2 linked regions of the Saccharomyces cerevisiae S288C genome follow. Changing the gene in region 2 together with the main gene of any one other region gives a genetic interaction. Each region holds a gene or a part of one and is shown on either strand. Other genes may lie near its edges.

Region 1 (9,606 bases), on a different chromosome or scaffold from region 2:
AGAGGCCGCAGAATGTGCTCTAGATTCCGATGCTGACTTGCTGGGTATTATATGTGTGCCCAATAGAAAGAGAACAATTGACCCGGTTATTGCAAGGAAAATTTCAAGTCTTGTAAAAGCATATAAAAATAGTTCAGGCACTCCGAAATACTTGGTTGGCGTGTTTCGTAATCAACCTAAGGAGGATGTTTTGGCTCTGGTCAATGATTACGGCATTGATATCGTCCAACTGCATGGAGATGAGTCGTGGCAAGAATACCAAGAGTTCCTCGGTTTGCCAGTTATTAAAAGACTCGTATTTCCAAAAGACTGCAACATACTACTCAGTGCAGCTTCACAGAAACCTCATTCGTTTATTCCCTTGTTTGATTCAGAAGCAGGTGGGACAGGTGAACTTTTGGATTGGAACTCGATTTCTGACTGGGTTGGAAGGCAAGAGAGCCCCGAAAGCTTACATTTTATGTTAGCTGGTGGACTGACGCCAGAAAATGTTGGTGATGCGCTTAGATTAAATGGCGTTATTGGTGTTGATGTAAGCGGAGGTGTGGAGACAAATGGTGTAAAAGACTCTAACAAAATAGCAAATTTCGTCAAAAATGCTAAGAAATAGGTTATTACTGAGTAGTATTTATTTAAGTATTGTTTGTGCACTTGCCTGCAGGCCTTTTGAAAAGCAAGCATAAAAGATCTAAACATAAAATCTGTAAAATAACAAGATGTAAAGATAATGCTAAATCATTTGGCTTTTTGATTGATTGTACAGGAAAATATACATCGCAGGGGGTTGACTTTTACCATTTCACCGCAATGGAATCAAACTTGTTGAAGAGAATGTTCACAGGCGCATACGCTACAATGACCCGATTCTTGCTAGCCTTTTCTCGGTCTTGCAAACAACCGCCGGCAGCTTAGTATATAAATACACATGTACATACCTCTCTCCGTATCCTCGTAATCATTTTCTTGTATTTATCGTCTTTTCGCTGTAAAAACTTTATCACACTTATCTCAAATACACTTATTAACCGCTTTTACTATTATCTTCTACGCTGACAGTAATATCAAACAGTGACACATATTAAACACAGTGGTTTCTTTGCATAAACACCATCAGCCTCAAGTCGTCAAGTAAAGATTTCGTGTTCATGCAGATAGATAACAATCTATATGTTGATAATTAGCGTTGCCTCATCAATGCGAGATCCGTTTAACCGGACCCTAGTGCACTTACCCCACGTTCGGTCCACTGTGTGCCGAACATGCTCCTTCACTATTTTAACATGTGGAATTCTTGAAAGAATGAAATCGCCATGCCAAGCCATCACACGGTCTTTTATGCAATTGATTGACCGCCTGCAACACATAGGCAGTAAAATTTTTACTGAAACGTATATAATCATCATAAGCGACAAGTGAGGCAACACCTTTGTTACCACATTGACAACCCCAGGTATTCATACTTCCTATTAGCGGAATCAGGAGTGCAAAAAGAGAAAATAAAAGTAAAAAGGTAGGGCAACACATAGTATGAATACAAACGTTCCAATATTCAGTTCTCCGGTCAGAGATTTACCAAGGTCTTTCGAACAAAAACATTTAGCGGTTGTAGATGCATTTTTCCAAACATACCATGTCAAACCTGATTTTATCGCTAGGTCTCCTGGCAGAGTAAATCTGATTGGTGAGCATATAGATTATTGCGATTTTTCAGTTTTGCCATTAGCCATTGATGTGGATATGCTTTGCGCAGTTAAAATTTTAGACGAAAAAAATCCATCCATTACCTTAACAAATGCGGACCCTAAATTTGCTCAGCGAAAGTTTGATCTGCCTTTAGATGGTTCCTACATGGCCATAGATCCGTCTGTGTCGGAATGGTCGAATTACTTTAAATGCGGACTACATGTGGCACATTCATACTTGAAAAAAATTGCTCCGGAAAGATTTAATAATACACCCTTAGTAGGTGCGCAGATCTTTTGCCAGAGCGATATTCCTACTGGTGGTGGACTCTCATCTGCATTTACTTGCGCGGCAGCACTAGCCACAATTAGAGCCAATATGGGAAAAAATTTTGATATTTCCAAAAAAGACTTGACCCGCATCACAGCGGTTGCTGAGCACTATGTTGGAGTCAATAATGGTGGTATGGATCAAGCAACGTCTGTTTATGGGGAAGAAGATCATGCTCTATACGTAGAGTTTAGGCCAAAACTAAAGGCCACACCTTTCAAGTTTCCTCAATTGAAAAATCATGAAATCAGTTTCGTCATCGCCAATACTCTTGTAAAGTCTAATAAATTCGAAACTGCTCCTACAAATTACAATTTAAGAGTAATAGAGGTAACAGTTGCTGCCAACGCCTTGGCGACCAGATACAGCGTGGCCTTACCATCTCACAAGGACAATTCTAACTCAGAAAGAGGGAATCTAAGAGATTTTATGGATGCTTACTACGCCAGATACGAAAACCAAGCCCAACCATGGAATGGAGATATCGGAACTGGTATTGAACGTTTACTCAAGATGCTACAATTGGTAGAAGAATCTTTCTCGAGGAAAAAGAGCGGATTCACTGTACATGAAGCCTCTACGGCGCTAAACTGTTCACGTGAGGAGTTCACTAGAGATTACCTGACAACTTTTCCCGTCCGCTTCCAAGTCTTGAAACTATATCAAAGAGCTAAACACGTTTACTCCGAATCCTTAAGGGTGCTTAAGGCTTTAAAAATGATGACAAGTGCCACTTTTCACACGGACGAAGATTTCTTTACAGATTTTGGCCGACTAATGAATGAGTCCCAGGCCTCTTGTGATAAACTTTATGAATGTTCGTGCATAGAAACCAATCAAATATGCTCGATTGCCCTAGCAAATGGTTCTTTCGGCTCCCGTCTCACTGGCGCTGGTTGGGGCGGTTGCACTATCCACCTTGTTCCTAGTGGCGCTAATGGGAACGTGGAACAGGTACGAAAAGCACTAATCGAAAAATTCTACAATGTAAGATATCCGGATCTCACAGATGAAGAACTAAAAGACGCAATTATAGTTTCGAAGCCTGCCTTGGGTACTTGTTTGTACGAACAATAACACTAAACACCTTCTTGGAACAACCTTTAAATATTAAAAGTTTACTCATACCTCTTACACTCTATAAAGAAACAAGTTGGTGAGTCCAATAGAACCCATTCCAGCATCCGATGCAACCATAGCCCGGTTGATGCGAGTCAGAGTGGCTCCGCACACAGAGGTTATGTGACCATGGTAACCGTACACATTTTTCCACGGCAAGGAAGTGGCGCGAAAGAAGCACCGCCCTCCACGGATCACCCCATTTGGAAAAGAACGGAGACATAAAAAAAAATTACCTTCACGCCAGACTATGTATGACTCGTAGAAATCTAGCATCCGCGGAGCTATTTTAAGTTTCCGCGGATGCCTTTCGATCCTTTCCCAGTCGTCTGGTTCCGCGCACATATGACTAAATGTCCGCCCATTTCCGTTTAAATCCGTTTTCTATTTTCTTTAGGTCTTTCCATTGTATTCCCTGCAACCCCGCTGGGTATTGGTATTACTAATAGTGACTACGCAACATCAACATATAAAACAAATGATGAGTAGTGCCCCTCCCTCACCGCTATCGCCTCACCACTTTTTATGCTTGTATATGCTTGTAGATAAATAAATACCTAACGAAAACAATATATACGAACCTAGTGTATTTGTATCTTTTGTTTTTCAAGTTGAAGTGTTGCGAGGTCAAAAAAAAAAAAGCTCACTGTAGGATATAGGAGTTACTATATCACCAGTGCATTACATTCTCAGTGCATCCATCGTCTTCAACATTGATTATTTTCTCCTTCCATTGATTAGAGTTCAAGCTCCCTGAGAAAACGAAGGTATAGCGGACGTACCCGCAGAGACATAAAAAAAGAAAAACTATATCGAAGACCGAAAGCAGTAAAAAAGTGGATAGAATAACACAGCTACCAAAATACGTAAAGAGAATTCAATGAGCAATATCAAAAGCACGCAAGATAGCTCTCATAATGCTGTCGCTAGAAGCTCAAGCGCTTCTTTTGCAGCTTCAGAAGAATCATTTACGGGCATAACCCATGACAAAGATGAGCAGAGCGATACCCCGGCGGATAAACTAACAAAAATGCTGACAGGACCTGCAAGAGACACTGCGAGCCAGATTAGTGCCACTGTGTCTGAAATGGCGCCAGATGTCGTATCTAAAGTGGAGTCATTTGCAGATGCACTATCCCGTCATACAACGAGAAGCGGTGCCTTTAATATGGATTCAGATAGTGACGATGGGTTCGATGCCCATGCCATCTTTGAAAGTTTTGTAAGAGACGCTGATGAGCAAGGCATCCATATCCGCAAGGCTGGTGTTACCATAGAGGACGTAAGCGCTAAAGGTGTGGATGCGAGTGCCCTAGAAGGTGCTACCTTTGGTAACATTCTTTGTTTACCGTTGACCATCTTTAAAGGTATTAAGGCTAAGAGGCATCAAAAGATGAGACAGATCATAAGCAATGTCAATGCCCTGGCAGAAGCGGGTGAAATGATTTTGGTTCTTGGAAGGCCTGGTGCTGGTTGTTCCTCCTTTTTAAAAGTAACAGCTGGTGAAATAGATCAGTTTGCCGGTGGTGTTTCCGGTGAAGTAGCATATGATGGTATTCCCCAAGAAGAAATGATGAAACGATATAAAGCAGATGTTATTTACAATGGTGAGTTGGATGTTCATTTCCCTTATTTAACAGTTAAGCAAACTTTGGATTTCGCTATTGCCTGCAAAACGCCTGCTCTCAGAGTCAATAACGTTTCCAAAAAGGAATACATTGCATCCAGAAGAGATTTATATGCAACCATTTTCGGTCTAAGGCATACCTATAATACCAAAGTTGGTAACGATTTCGTTAGAGGTGTATCTGGTGGTGAACGTAAGCGTGTTTCCATTGCCGAGGCTTTGGCAGCCAAAGGTTCCATTTACTGTTGGGATAATGCCACTAGAGGTTTGGATGCGTCTACGGCCTTAGAATACGCAAAAGCCATCCGTATTATGACAAACTTATTGAAATCAACCGCTTTTGTTACAATTTATCAGGCAAGTGAAAACATTTACGAAACATTTGATAAAGTCACTGTCCTTTATTCTGGTAAGCAAATTTATTTTGGTTTGATCCACGAGGCAAAACCTTATTTCGCAAAAATGGGTTATTTGTGTCCTCCAAGGCAAGCAACAGCTGAATTTTTAACCGCGTTGACTGATCCAAATGGATTCCATCTGATCAAGCCAGGTTATGAAAATAAAGTACCAAGAACCGCTGAGGAATTCGAAACATATTGGTTAAATTCTCCAGAGTTTGCTCAAATGAAAAAAGATATCGCTGCTTATAAAGAGAAGGTCAATACCGAAAAGACTAAAGAAGTTTATGACGAATCGATGGCTCAAGAGAAATCCAAATATACGAGAAAGAAGTCTTATTATACAGTGTCATATTGGGAACAAGTTAAACTGTGTACCCAACGTGGGTTCCAAAGAATTTACGGTAACAAGAGTTATACAGTCATCAATGTCTGCTCTGCAATAATTCAATCTTTTATTACTGGATCATTATTTTACAATACCCCTTCATCCACTTCCGGTGCTTTTTCAAGAGGTGGTGTGTTGTATTTTGCGCTACTATATTATTCTTTGATGGGACTGGCGAATATTTCTTTTGAACATAGGCCAATCTTACAAAAGCACAAGGGCTATTCTTTGTATCATCCTTCAGCTGAGGCAATTGGCTCCACTCTGGCATCTTTCCCCTTCAGAATGATTGGTTTGACCTGTTTCTTTATCATTTTATTCTTCCTATCTGGGTTGCACAGAACAGCGGGATCATTTTTTACCATCTATTTGTTCTTAACCATGTGTTCAGAGGCGATCAATGGTTTATTTGAGATGGTTTCTTCAGTATGTGACACTCTTTCTCAAGCTAACTCTATCTCGGGTATTCTGATGATGTCTATCTCAATGTACTCTACCTATATGATCCAATTGCCTTCGATGCATCCATGGTTTAAATGGATATCGTACGTACTACCTATCAGGTACGCCTTCGAGTCGATGTTAAATGCCGAATTTCACGGTAGGCATATGGATTGTGCTAACACTCTAGTACCCAGTGGAGGAGACTATGATAATTTATCCGATGACTACAAAGTATGTGCTTTTGTTGGTTCGAAACCAGGTCAGTCTTATGTGCTTGGTGATGACTACCTTAAAAATCAATTTCAGTACGTTTATAAGCACACGTGGAGAAACTTTGGTATCTTGTGGTGCTTTTTACTGGGTTATGTTGTTTTGAAAGTGATATTCACAGAATATAAGAGGCCTGTGAAAGGTGGTGGTGATGCTCTTATCTTCAAGAAAGGATCAAAAAGATTTATCGCACATGCAGATGAAGAATCTCCAGACAATGTCAATGATATAGATGCCAAAGAGCAATTCTCCAGTGAAAGTAGCGGCGCAAATGATGAAGTATTTGATGATTTAGAAGCCAAAGGTGTTTTCATTTGGAAGGACGTATGCTTTACTATTCCATATGAAGGCGGTAAGAGAATGCTTTTGGATAATGTTTCAGGTTATTGTATTCCAGGTACCATGACGGCCTTGATGGGAGAGTCAGGTGCTGGTAAAACAACTTTGTTAAATACTCTTGCTCAAAGAAATGTCGGTATCATTACTGGTGATATGCTTGTCAATGGACGTCCCATTGATGCGAGTTTCGAAAGGCGTACAGGTTATGTACAACAACAGGATATACATATCGCAGAGTTAACTGTTAGGGAATCGTTGCAGTTTTCTGCTCGTATGCGTCGCCCTCAGCATTTGCCTGATTCTGAAAAAATGGATTATGTGGAAAAAATCATCAGAGTTTTGGGAATGGAAGAGTATGCGGAAGCCCTTGTTGGTGAGGTTGGTTGTGGTTTAAACGTTGAACAGAGAAAGAAGCTGTCTATTGGTGTTGAACTAGTCGCCAAACCAGACTTATTATTATTCCTCGATGAACCTACATCAGGTTTGGATTCTCAATCTTCATGGGCCATTATTCAATTATTAAGAAAGTTATCAAAAGCTGGCCAATCCATTCTTTGTACGATCCATCAACCTTCAGCTACTCTGTTCGAAGAGTTTGATAGATTACTACTTTTGAGGAAGGGTGGACAAACTGTTTATTTCGGAGATATTGGTAAGAACTCTGCCACCATTTTGAACTACTTTGAAAGGAATGGGGCAAGAAAATGTGATTCTAGTGAAAATCCTGCTGAATATATTTTAGAGGCTATTGGTGCCGGTGCCACAGCATCCGTCAAAGAAGACTGGCACGAAAAATGGTTGAACTCTGTCGAGTTTGAACAAACAAAAGAAAAAGTACAGGATTTAATAAATGATTTATCGAAACAAGAAACTAAATCCGAAGTTGGAGACAAACCTTCCAAATATGCTACTTCTTATGCTTACCAGTTCAGATATGTTTTAATCAGAACCTCTACTTCATTTTGGAGAAGTCTGAATTACATCATGTCAAAGATGATGCTAATGCTGGTTGGTGGTCTGTATATTGGTTTCACATTTTTCAATGTTGGTAAAAGTTATGTCGGCTTACAAAATGCGATGTTCGCGGCATTTATCTCTATTATCTTGTCTGCTCCTGCAATGAACCAAATCCAAGGACGTGCTATTGCCTCCAGAGAACTTTTTGAAGTTAGGGAATCCCAATCTAACATGTTTCACTGGTCGCTGGTGTTGATCACTCAGTACTTGAGCGAACTTCCCTATCATTTATTTTTTTCGACAATTTTCTTTGTCTCATCGTATTTTCCATTAAGAATCTTCTTCGAAGCGTCAAGATCTGCGGTGTACTTTTTGAATTACTGCATTATGTTCCAGTTATACTATGTTGGTCTTGGCTTAATGATCCTATATATGTCACCGAACCTTCCATCCGCTAATGTTATCTTAGGTTTGTGTCTGTCATTTATGCTTTCTTTCTGTGGTGTTACACAACCTGTCTCATTGATGCCTGGCTTCTGGACATTCATGTGGAAGGCTTCCCCATACACATATTTTGTTCAGAATCTGGTCGGAATTATGCTGCACAAAAAACCAGTCGTATGCAAAAAGAAAGAACTAAACTACTTCAACCCACCAAACGGCTCAACGTGTGGAGAGTACATGAAACCCTTTTTGGAAAAAGCTACTGGTTACATCGAAAATCCTGATGCTACGTCAGATTGTGCATACTGTATTTACGAAGTTGGAGATAATTATTTGACACATATCAGCTCTAAGTATAGCTACTTGTGGAGAAATTTTGGAATATTTTGGATTTACATTTTCTTCAATATCATTGCTATGGTTTGTGTGTATTACCTCTTCCATGTAAGACAATCTTCCTTCCTAAGCCCCGTATCTATACTCAATAAAATTAAAAACATAAGGAAAAAGAAGCAGTAATGTGGGCTTCAGATAACTTAACATTTTGTGCATTCATCTGCCTTTAATTCTTAATTCTCATTTTACACTATAGAAGAAGACACGAGTACATCTCGTTTCACTTTTATACTGACATTCATATAATTAACAATAAGTATAGTTTATAATAGATACAAAAAAAAAGTCTTGTATTACCATGTTAATAGTTACATTGTGTATAACTCTCGTAGTTTTCAAAAGTCAAGTCTTGTTGAGTAAAAAAGTTTATTTTACCCTTGGGTTTCGACTCAAAATATTGGATTACGATCTAAGCAAGGTGTTGCAAGTACAAGCTAAACGAAAAGAATAAGACAAAAAAACTGAGGCTCCTCAAACTGGTCACCAAAATTGAACTTCAAATTTAGTGTTTCTACATTTTTTCTATTTTGTTTCATTTTTATATCCCTTTCATATGATTAACAAAACTTGGTAAATTATCTGGCCTGTCAACCCTTACCTGTCCTGTCCCTTCTTTAGACAAAAGAAAATAAAAAAATTGGACACAGGAAAACAACAGCCTCCATACCACAGTTTCTGTGTCTTATTCTATTTAGGAAGGTCATTCTATATTACTCAAAGGAAAGACATCCAGTAGAAACAATAGTGTTGCTAAACGGTTAACTTGCCCACTAATGTCTGCTTATATTTGCAAATCACTATTGTGGCAAGTCATACCCTGGAGCTTTGTGATTGAACAACATATACTATATTGCAGCAGTATTTTTCAGAAATAATATTCGAAAGAAGTGAGAACAAGAAATGACCACGATAGATTACAGCTGACCAACTTAGAAAATGAGTAAACTTATTTTTGTCTTAAGAAGTGCATGCAGCGACCTCTCCCAATTACCAAATTGTAATTTTTTATTATTCTTTTTTTCTGCATAGTTCATTCGACAGCTTGGTTGAAAAGAGTGATAAAAATTTTCTGTTTTATGAAAAGTTTTCATAACTCTATTAAGGGTTGCACTATAAGAACATTTCGCAATAAAGCAACCCTTATCCGGACCCTACATGTTCCGTAAGTCCTGCCTTATTTATCGTAACGGTATTCATCTTACAGGAATTTT
Region 2 (7,197 bases):
TTCTTTATTTTCAATCTTCCCAAATGCTCCGGATGAGTAGCCGTCCGCTAATAAGTATTGGGCATCTGAATAACCCTTTATGCTCAGTTTCTTCAAATAACTTTGCGCTTCTTTCAAAAACTGAAGTTTTAAGTCAGATTGGCTGACATTTCCTTCCTTGTCACTATCTTGAACAAGAGCATTGGAAGATTCAATAGTCAGTGCGGTTTGTAACATATATTGCGCATACTGGAATAACACTTCAGGATCTTTAGATTTTTTAACGTTTTGTCTATACATTTCTATTGTTTTTAGCCTTGGAACTAAGGAAGTATTATTTTTACCACCCAAATATCGACTGATCATCTGATGTGACAAATCTGCTACAGATTCATTAGTAGCCGTTAATTGGGTATCACTGCTACCATTCAACAGGTACATGTGAGACAAATCTACAGAACGAGTTCTTTTCTTTATTTGCTCCTTCGTAAGAGATGTACTCGAATTTGTCTGTCTTAATGCTCCCGGTGACGGAGAATTTGTAGGAGTACTTCCCAAAGAACTTAAGGAAGTATTATTTGAATTATTAAGATGAAGCTGTGGGGGTGGGACTGGAACGAAATCTTCCTCTTGACTATTGCCTATATCGTTTGATAGTAGAGGTACTGACGCAGCTCTAAGATGCTCATTGATAAGCGGTTGGTTTGCCGACCGCTTAGGAAGGTCTGCGGTACTGAAGTCTTCATTGTCCCTGTTTTCCCTATTCTCTTTATTATCTGAAAAATCTTGACCTACCTTCAACGAACTGTTTTGAAACTGTAGGCCCCTGTTATCAAAATTTATATGCTGTGATTGCATTAAATGCTTCTTATATGGATGTACCTGCGGTGAACTTGCCATTTTTTATCCTTTTATTTTAACTTTATCACCAAAAAAGACGAGAACCTGGTAGTATACAATGGAAGGCTTATTAACAGCAAGTCTAAAGTCAAGTGCCAACACCTAGTTTGTCTCTACTCTTAAATCTTACATCATCCTCGAGAGGGTCTGCAGAAAGAATTTTTCGTTCTTTTTTTAGCAAGTCAAAACGCGAAGTGAAACGTGGGAAAATATAACGATGACCTTTCTTAAAACATGCATGAAGACTCGTGAAAGTCATATGTACATATGTCGTATAGATTTGCAGATAGTTGCAACAAATAATTAGCGATTAGTTATGGCCTATACATGGCAGCTAAGTGCGATGGCATGTTCAAATGTATTATATTAAATCAAATGAACTTAAAATGCGATGTTTGGGTGCAAAATATCTATAGATGATAGAGACGGTTCATTGATCTTACGGATCAACTTTGAGATCAGTAAGGCTGACTAGATGGTACAATTTTGTGCAGTCAATGGACTATTAAGGGATCGCAAAGAGGTATGTGCGCCAGTTTAAACGAGGTAAAAAAGAATGACACCTATGGGGTCTCACAAAAGGGCTACAATGACAATTTCAGTGAAAGTGAGGGCGTCCTTCATGGTAGTAAGTCGATGCCCACTAGCATGAAAAATATGCTACAGTCTCCCACGATGGTCAACATGTGTGATATTTTACAAAACAAGGAAGCTGCTAATGACGAAAAACCTGTGATACCTACTACGGATACCGCCACTGCGGGGACTGGTACTGAAGATATTAGCTCCACTCAATCCGAGGAAACTGATCAGAATAGTCATCTTATTGCCTCAGAGATCTTGGAAGGCACTTTCAAAGATGTATCTTACAAGGAATATGCAAATTTCTTGGGAAACGATAACAATAATCAAGTCTTGACTGAGTTTGTAAAGTTATTGAGTCCTTTGCCGTCGTCACTATTAGAAACGCTTTTCAATTTATCGAAAAGTATATATTTCATTGCAGAAGCGCAAAATATCGACCGGATACTAGAGTGCTTGAGCATAGAATGGATAGCTTGCCACCCGAACACACATTGGAAGTCAGGCTATAAGTCATGTCATATAGTCTTATTTTCCCTGTTGATCCTTAATTCGGATTTGCACAACAACTTTCAAGTTGACCATAAAAAGATTAAGTTTTCCATGGTTGCATTTATCAACAATACACTGAGGGCACTAAGAGAGGAAAATGAATACGAAGAATTGAAAATATACTCCCGCGAACATTTGATCATCGAAGAACTTTCCGAATACTATAAAACGTTAAATGAAACGCCTTTACCGTTATGCACAGAATCTAGAACATCAATAAATATATCAGATAACCAATCTTCCTTGAAAAGGTTCTCTACTCTAGGATCACGGGAATTTAGTACATCAAATTTACGTAGTGTTAACTCTAATTCTACTACACTATATTCAAGAGATGGTCAAGTATCTGTACGAGAAATGAGCGCAAAATCAAATAAAAACTTTCACAATAATCACCCCATGGATGCACTCTACCTTAAAGAGTCTTTTGATGACGGTTTAATTACCGAAAACGGCTCCAGTTGGTTCATGGACGATTTAATTCTTATAAGCAAGAAATCTTTACCACGTAAATATTCTAAAAGAGACAAAGATCAAGTGGCGGCACCAAAAATGACCTCTAAGAGAAACAAATCGTTCTTCGGATGGCTAAAACCATCTAAAACGACTACACTTATTGAGCACACATCTAGAAGGACTTCTTTATCGTATTTGAATAAGGATTCTGAATGGGAGAGGGTGAAAATACAGGTCAAGGAGGGCAGAATTTTTATTTTCAAAATTAAACCAGATGTTAAGGATATCATCCAATCAAGTGAAACAGACAGTGCTACCATCGACTATTTCAAAGATATCAGTAGCTCTTATTTTGCTTACTCACTGCTTGAAGCTGAAGCACATGTCGTGCAAGATAATATAATTATAGGTAGTGGAGCAATGAAATCAAATGTGTGTAACAAAAACACCAAGAGGAAAAGTGGCAACTTTACCGTTAGTTTTCCAGAGAATATCAACGGACCAAAGCTTGTTCTGGAGTTCCAGACGAGAAGTGTTGAAGAAGCCCACAAGTTTATGGACTGTATCAACTTCTGGGCAGGTAGGATTTCTCCAGTTCCTTTAACACAATTCGAAGCCGTATCTAACGCAGAATATGGATGGAGTGACAAGATCTTGACAGAGCACGCTTCCCTCAATCTTAAAAATATTGTTGTAAGTGAATGGAAGCCACTATTGGGGCTAGAGCTACTATACGAAGATGCGAAAGATGTAGAGATGGTCGAACTAAAAGAAAGGCTAAAGGAATTGATGAACTTCACCAGACAGCTTGGTATATGGATAGATAAACATAACGAAATAAAGGATAAGCTGGTCGAAATTTGGAGCTTTGACGATAACTATTTTGAAGCAGTCATGAATAATTGGAATTCGAGATATTTGTATATGAATAATCAATATAAGAAACGACTGAGCTACTTGAAAGCTTTGCAAAAAGCCATGGGTTCTGTTCAGTTCTAAGTATATTTAAAGATATAAATATAAAGACTGCGCTGAAGAAATATAAACTTGAAAACTGTACTCTGCCTTTTATTTACAAGGGATATTGAGATGATTTGTGTGAATGAAGTAGCGACAGAAAAAAAGCTTTTATTTCGAGTTCGCATCATTGTCACTTTCCTGCTTTTTCTTGGCGTACTGTCTATCTAAGATAGTCTTTAATATAGCGTCCTCGCCATATTCTTCTTCCTCAATTTTCTTCCATCTCTTTTCTACATCAGCTCTCTTTATTCTACTTTCAATGACAGCACGTTTCTTGTTATTCAAACTTGCCTCCTTGAGACACTTGTTCAAAGCATCCTTTTCGTTGTTACAAAGGCCAAATATTCTCTTGTAATATTCCTTTTGATGGCATTTATCGAGTGCATTGATGAAGTCCAAACAGGCTAAAATGAAGAAGGGGAGAATACAATGTTAGTAAGTCGGAGCACAGAAAAAGGCAAATATATGAAGTAAAATCTGGATACTTACAATGAAAACGTTCAGCTTCTAACTGTGGATGCATGTTGTAGTACTTGTCTTATCTTGCTTTTGTTCAACTGCACTTGTAAATCAGTGAATGTTATTGGACGCGCAGCGATTTTTTAATAGGTCTTTCTCTATTAATGTAATATGCGAATTGAAACATAATGTAAACACAAGAAGAAAATTCGAAATAAAGGACTGGCCAACAATAATGTTAGTGAGCAGAAACGACAAGCCCAAAATCAGTAGTGAGGAAGTCACACATTTTATAGACGACTATAAAAAGAGGAGGAAAACTCAGATGACACGATTCTTCGGAATCACTATTTTTACACTTATAACATGTAGAATTGCCATGAAGAAAATGATAACTGCAAAAGGTATGCATAGGCAATAACTTCGGCCTCATACTCAAAGAACACGTTTACTAACATAACTTATTTACATAGTGCCATTGAACACTTTTCAAGCAAACTACGCCAGCCGGACGCAGACAATAACACACACACAAAAGAGTCTTGCAGGTTCTCTTTTAGCGGCAACGGGCATGACACTAGGTATATTTGGTATGGGCATCACAGGGACATGTTGGAGCTGGGATGTTTCATCATTTCAGGAACTAAAGCAACGTCTGGAAAGGCGTGCCAACAACGAATTTGTAGTGACAAACATGCCTCTGGATAAAAGAAGCCAGCAAGTAGTGGACAGCTTAGTTAAGACACACAATTCATCTCTTTGTAAATAGTGTTATACCATAGTAGTAGTTTCAATAATATATTCCACTACTTATATGTGTTACCCGCATTAGAACTCTTATTGGTGGCGAAAATCGATGGCAATAAAGAACGGAAGGGGTTTAATAGTTGTATGCTTAACATATTTCGATTTAAATATATAAGAAACGTCGGTAGCACAACAATTAACTCATTATTTAGGTATGGCGGAAATACCTGATGAAACCATCCAGCAGTTCATGGCATTGACCAATGTGTCGCATAACATAGCCGTTCAATATCTCTCTGAATTTGGAGATTTAAATGAAGCACTAAATTCCTATTATGCTTCTCAAACGGATGACCAAAAGGATAGAAGAGAGGAAGCACATTGGAACAGACAGCAGGAGAAGGCCCTCAAGCAAGAAGCCTTCTCCACCAACTCTTCGAATAAAGCCATAAATACGGAGCACGTTGGTGGGTTATGTCCAAAACCAGGATCCTCACAAGGTAGCAACGAGTACTTGAAAAGGAAAGGTTCTACCTCTCCTGAACCAACCAAGGGTAGTAGCCGCTCTGGAAGTGGTAACAACTCCAGGTTTATGAGCTTTTCGGATATGGTAAGAGGTCAAGCTGATGATGACGATGAAGATCAACCGAGAAATACTTTTGCTGGTGGTGAAACATCCGGCTTAGAGGTTACAGATCCTTCAGATCCTAATTCATTACTGAAGGATTTGCTGGAAAAAGCGAGAAGGGGTGGTCAAATGGGCGCTGAAAACGGATTCCGTGATGACGAAGACCATGAAATGGGTGCCAATAGGTTTACTGGAAGAGGTTTTAGATTAGGGTCAACCATCGACGCAGCAGATGAAGTCGTAGAAGACAACACTTCACAATCACAACGTAGACCAGAAAAAGTCACAAGAGAAATTACATTTTGGAAGGAAGGTTTTCAAGTGGCCGATGGTCCGCTTTATCGCTATGATGATCCTGCGAACAGTTTCTATTTGAGCGAGTTAAATCAAGGGAGGGCTCCATTAAAGCTCTTAGATGTGCAATTTGGACAAGAAGTTGAAGTTAATGTATATAAAAAATTAGATGAGTCTTATAAAGCTCCGACGAGAAAACTGGGCGGTTTTTCAGGCCAGGGCCAAAGACTAGGATCTCCTATCCCGGGTGAATCGTCACCTGCGGAGGTTCCAAAGAATGAGACACCCGCTGCTCAGGAACAACCCATGCCGGACAATGAGCCAAAACAAGGCGACACCTCCATCCAAATTAGATACGCAAATGGCAAAAGAGAAGTTTTGCACTGCAATTCCACAGATACAGTAAAGTTTTTGTATGAGCATGTGACATCAAATGCGAACACTGACCCATCGAGGAATTTCACCTTGAATTATGCCTTTCCTATCAAACCAATAAGCAACGATGAGACAACATTGAAGGACGCTGATCTGCTGAACTCCGTTGTCGTGCAAAGATGGGCATGAGCATAAATATACAAAAACAGAAACGGGAAAAGACTTCAACTTAATATATAAATGCACGTATATCTATACCCGTAGTATATATCATTTGTACCTCAATACAATTTCAAATCACCTGTTATTTGATCCAATACTGCTTTTGGAGCAGGTCCTAAACCCAATACGGTGGCACTTCCCGCAGCAATCTGTGTTCTACCAGCATCATGAATAACTGCTGCATTCACCCCAAGTGATATAGCCTTCGCATACAACTCGTCCATTGTAAACTTATCTGGACATTTCAACGTTATTTTAGCCTGTCCAGCATTTAGCCATCTTTGTGTCATAATTGGGTTGTATGAAGCACGCGCGGGGTTTGTAGCAATATGTCTAAAACATGACAATGCTGCGTGACAGCATTGTGCCGCTATTTTGCCCTTTGTCATGCCAAGATCTTGACGAATCACCAATGCCATCCTAACTTCTCCAGGTATATCATTCAATGAAGTGGACTCAATATCTTCGTCCTCATCGCTCTCATCTTCGCTTTCACTTTCCTCCTCATCAGTGTCATTGTGTAGCTTTCCTTCCTTCATTTCTTTAGAACGCAGTAAAGTAGCTGAGGATTTCTTAGTTGATGATGCGTTCGACGTACCCAACTGGTAACCCACGGCAAAGGAGATTGCGGTGAAAGTAGCCCATAAAGCTATGGTGTAATTCGAAGAAACTGTCATCTTTTCCATTAAAAAGACGTTATCATGTTACTCCGCTGTCAACAAGTAATATAGCAAGAAACAATTAGCTCTTATGCTTAAGAGCTTCTAGAAGAGTAGTAATAACCTTTAAACATTATTTTCGTCAGGCGTGATATCAGCGAGTTGAAGAAAAAACAACATGGGTTGTCCCTCAAGAGAATAAACTCAAAGGAGTAAAAGGTGTTTAGAGCTTGTTGGCTCGATTGTTGCCACCGGAAGGCCCCTTTCTGTTTTTAGACTATATTCATTTTACTTTTTGAAGTTTCTATTATAGGCAGACGAAGA

Evidence for each region. Genes that interact genetically often act in the same process or in processes that back each other up.
Region 1: mutations in IAI11 (region 2) and SNQ2 together harm fitness more than expected from each alone (negative genetic interaction), as found in Saccharomyces cerevisiae (one large-scale study listed by BioGRID).

Annotation. Positions count from the first base shown.
Region 1 is NC_001136.10:461,907-471,512, forward strand, and holds SNQ2 (ATP-binding cassette transporter SNQ2), read left to right. Parts: upstream 1-4,012; coding exon 4,013-8,518; downstream 8,519-9,606. Other genes in the region: phosphoribosylanthranilate isomerase TRP1, read left to right, coding at 1-610; transcriptional regulator GAL3, read left to right, coding at 1,528-3,090; YDR010C (uncharacterized protein), read right to left, coding at 3,145-3,477. UniProt on the Saccharomyces cerevisiae protein: Could be an ATP-dependent permease. Confers hyper-resistance to the mutagens 4-nitroquinoline-N-oxide (4-NQO) and triaziquone, as well as to the chemicals sulphomethuron methyl phenanthroline when present in multiple copies.
Region 2 is NC_001134.8:106,528-113,724, forward strand, and holds IAI11 (Iai11p), read left to right. Parts: upstream 1-4,066; coding exon 4,067-4,352; intron 4,353-4,421; coding exon 4,422-4,717; downstream 4,718-7,197. Other genes in the region: SKT5 (Skt5p), read right to left, coding at 1-879; Arf family guanine nucleotide exchange factor YEL1, read left to right, coding at 1,405-3,468; CMC2 (Cmc2p), read right to left, coding at 3,598-3,893, 3,979-4,012; protein phosphatase regulator SHP1, read left to right, coding at 4,910-6,181; PTH2 (aminoacyl-tRNA hydrolase), read right to left, coding at 6,274-6,900.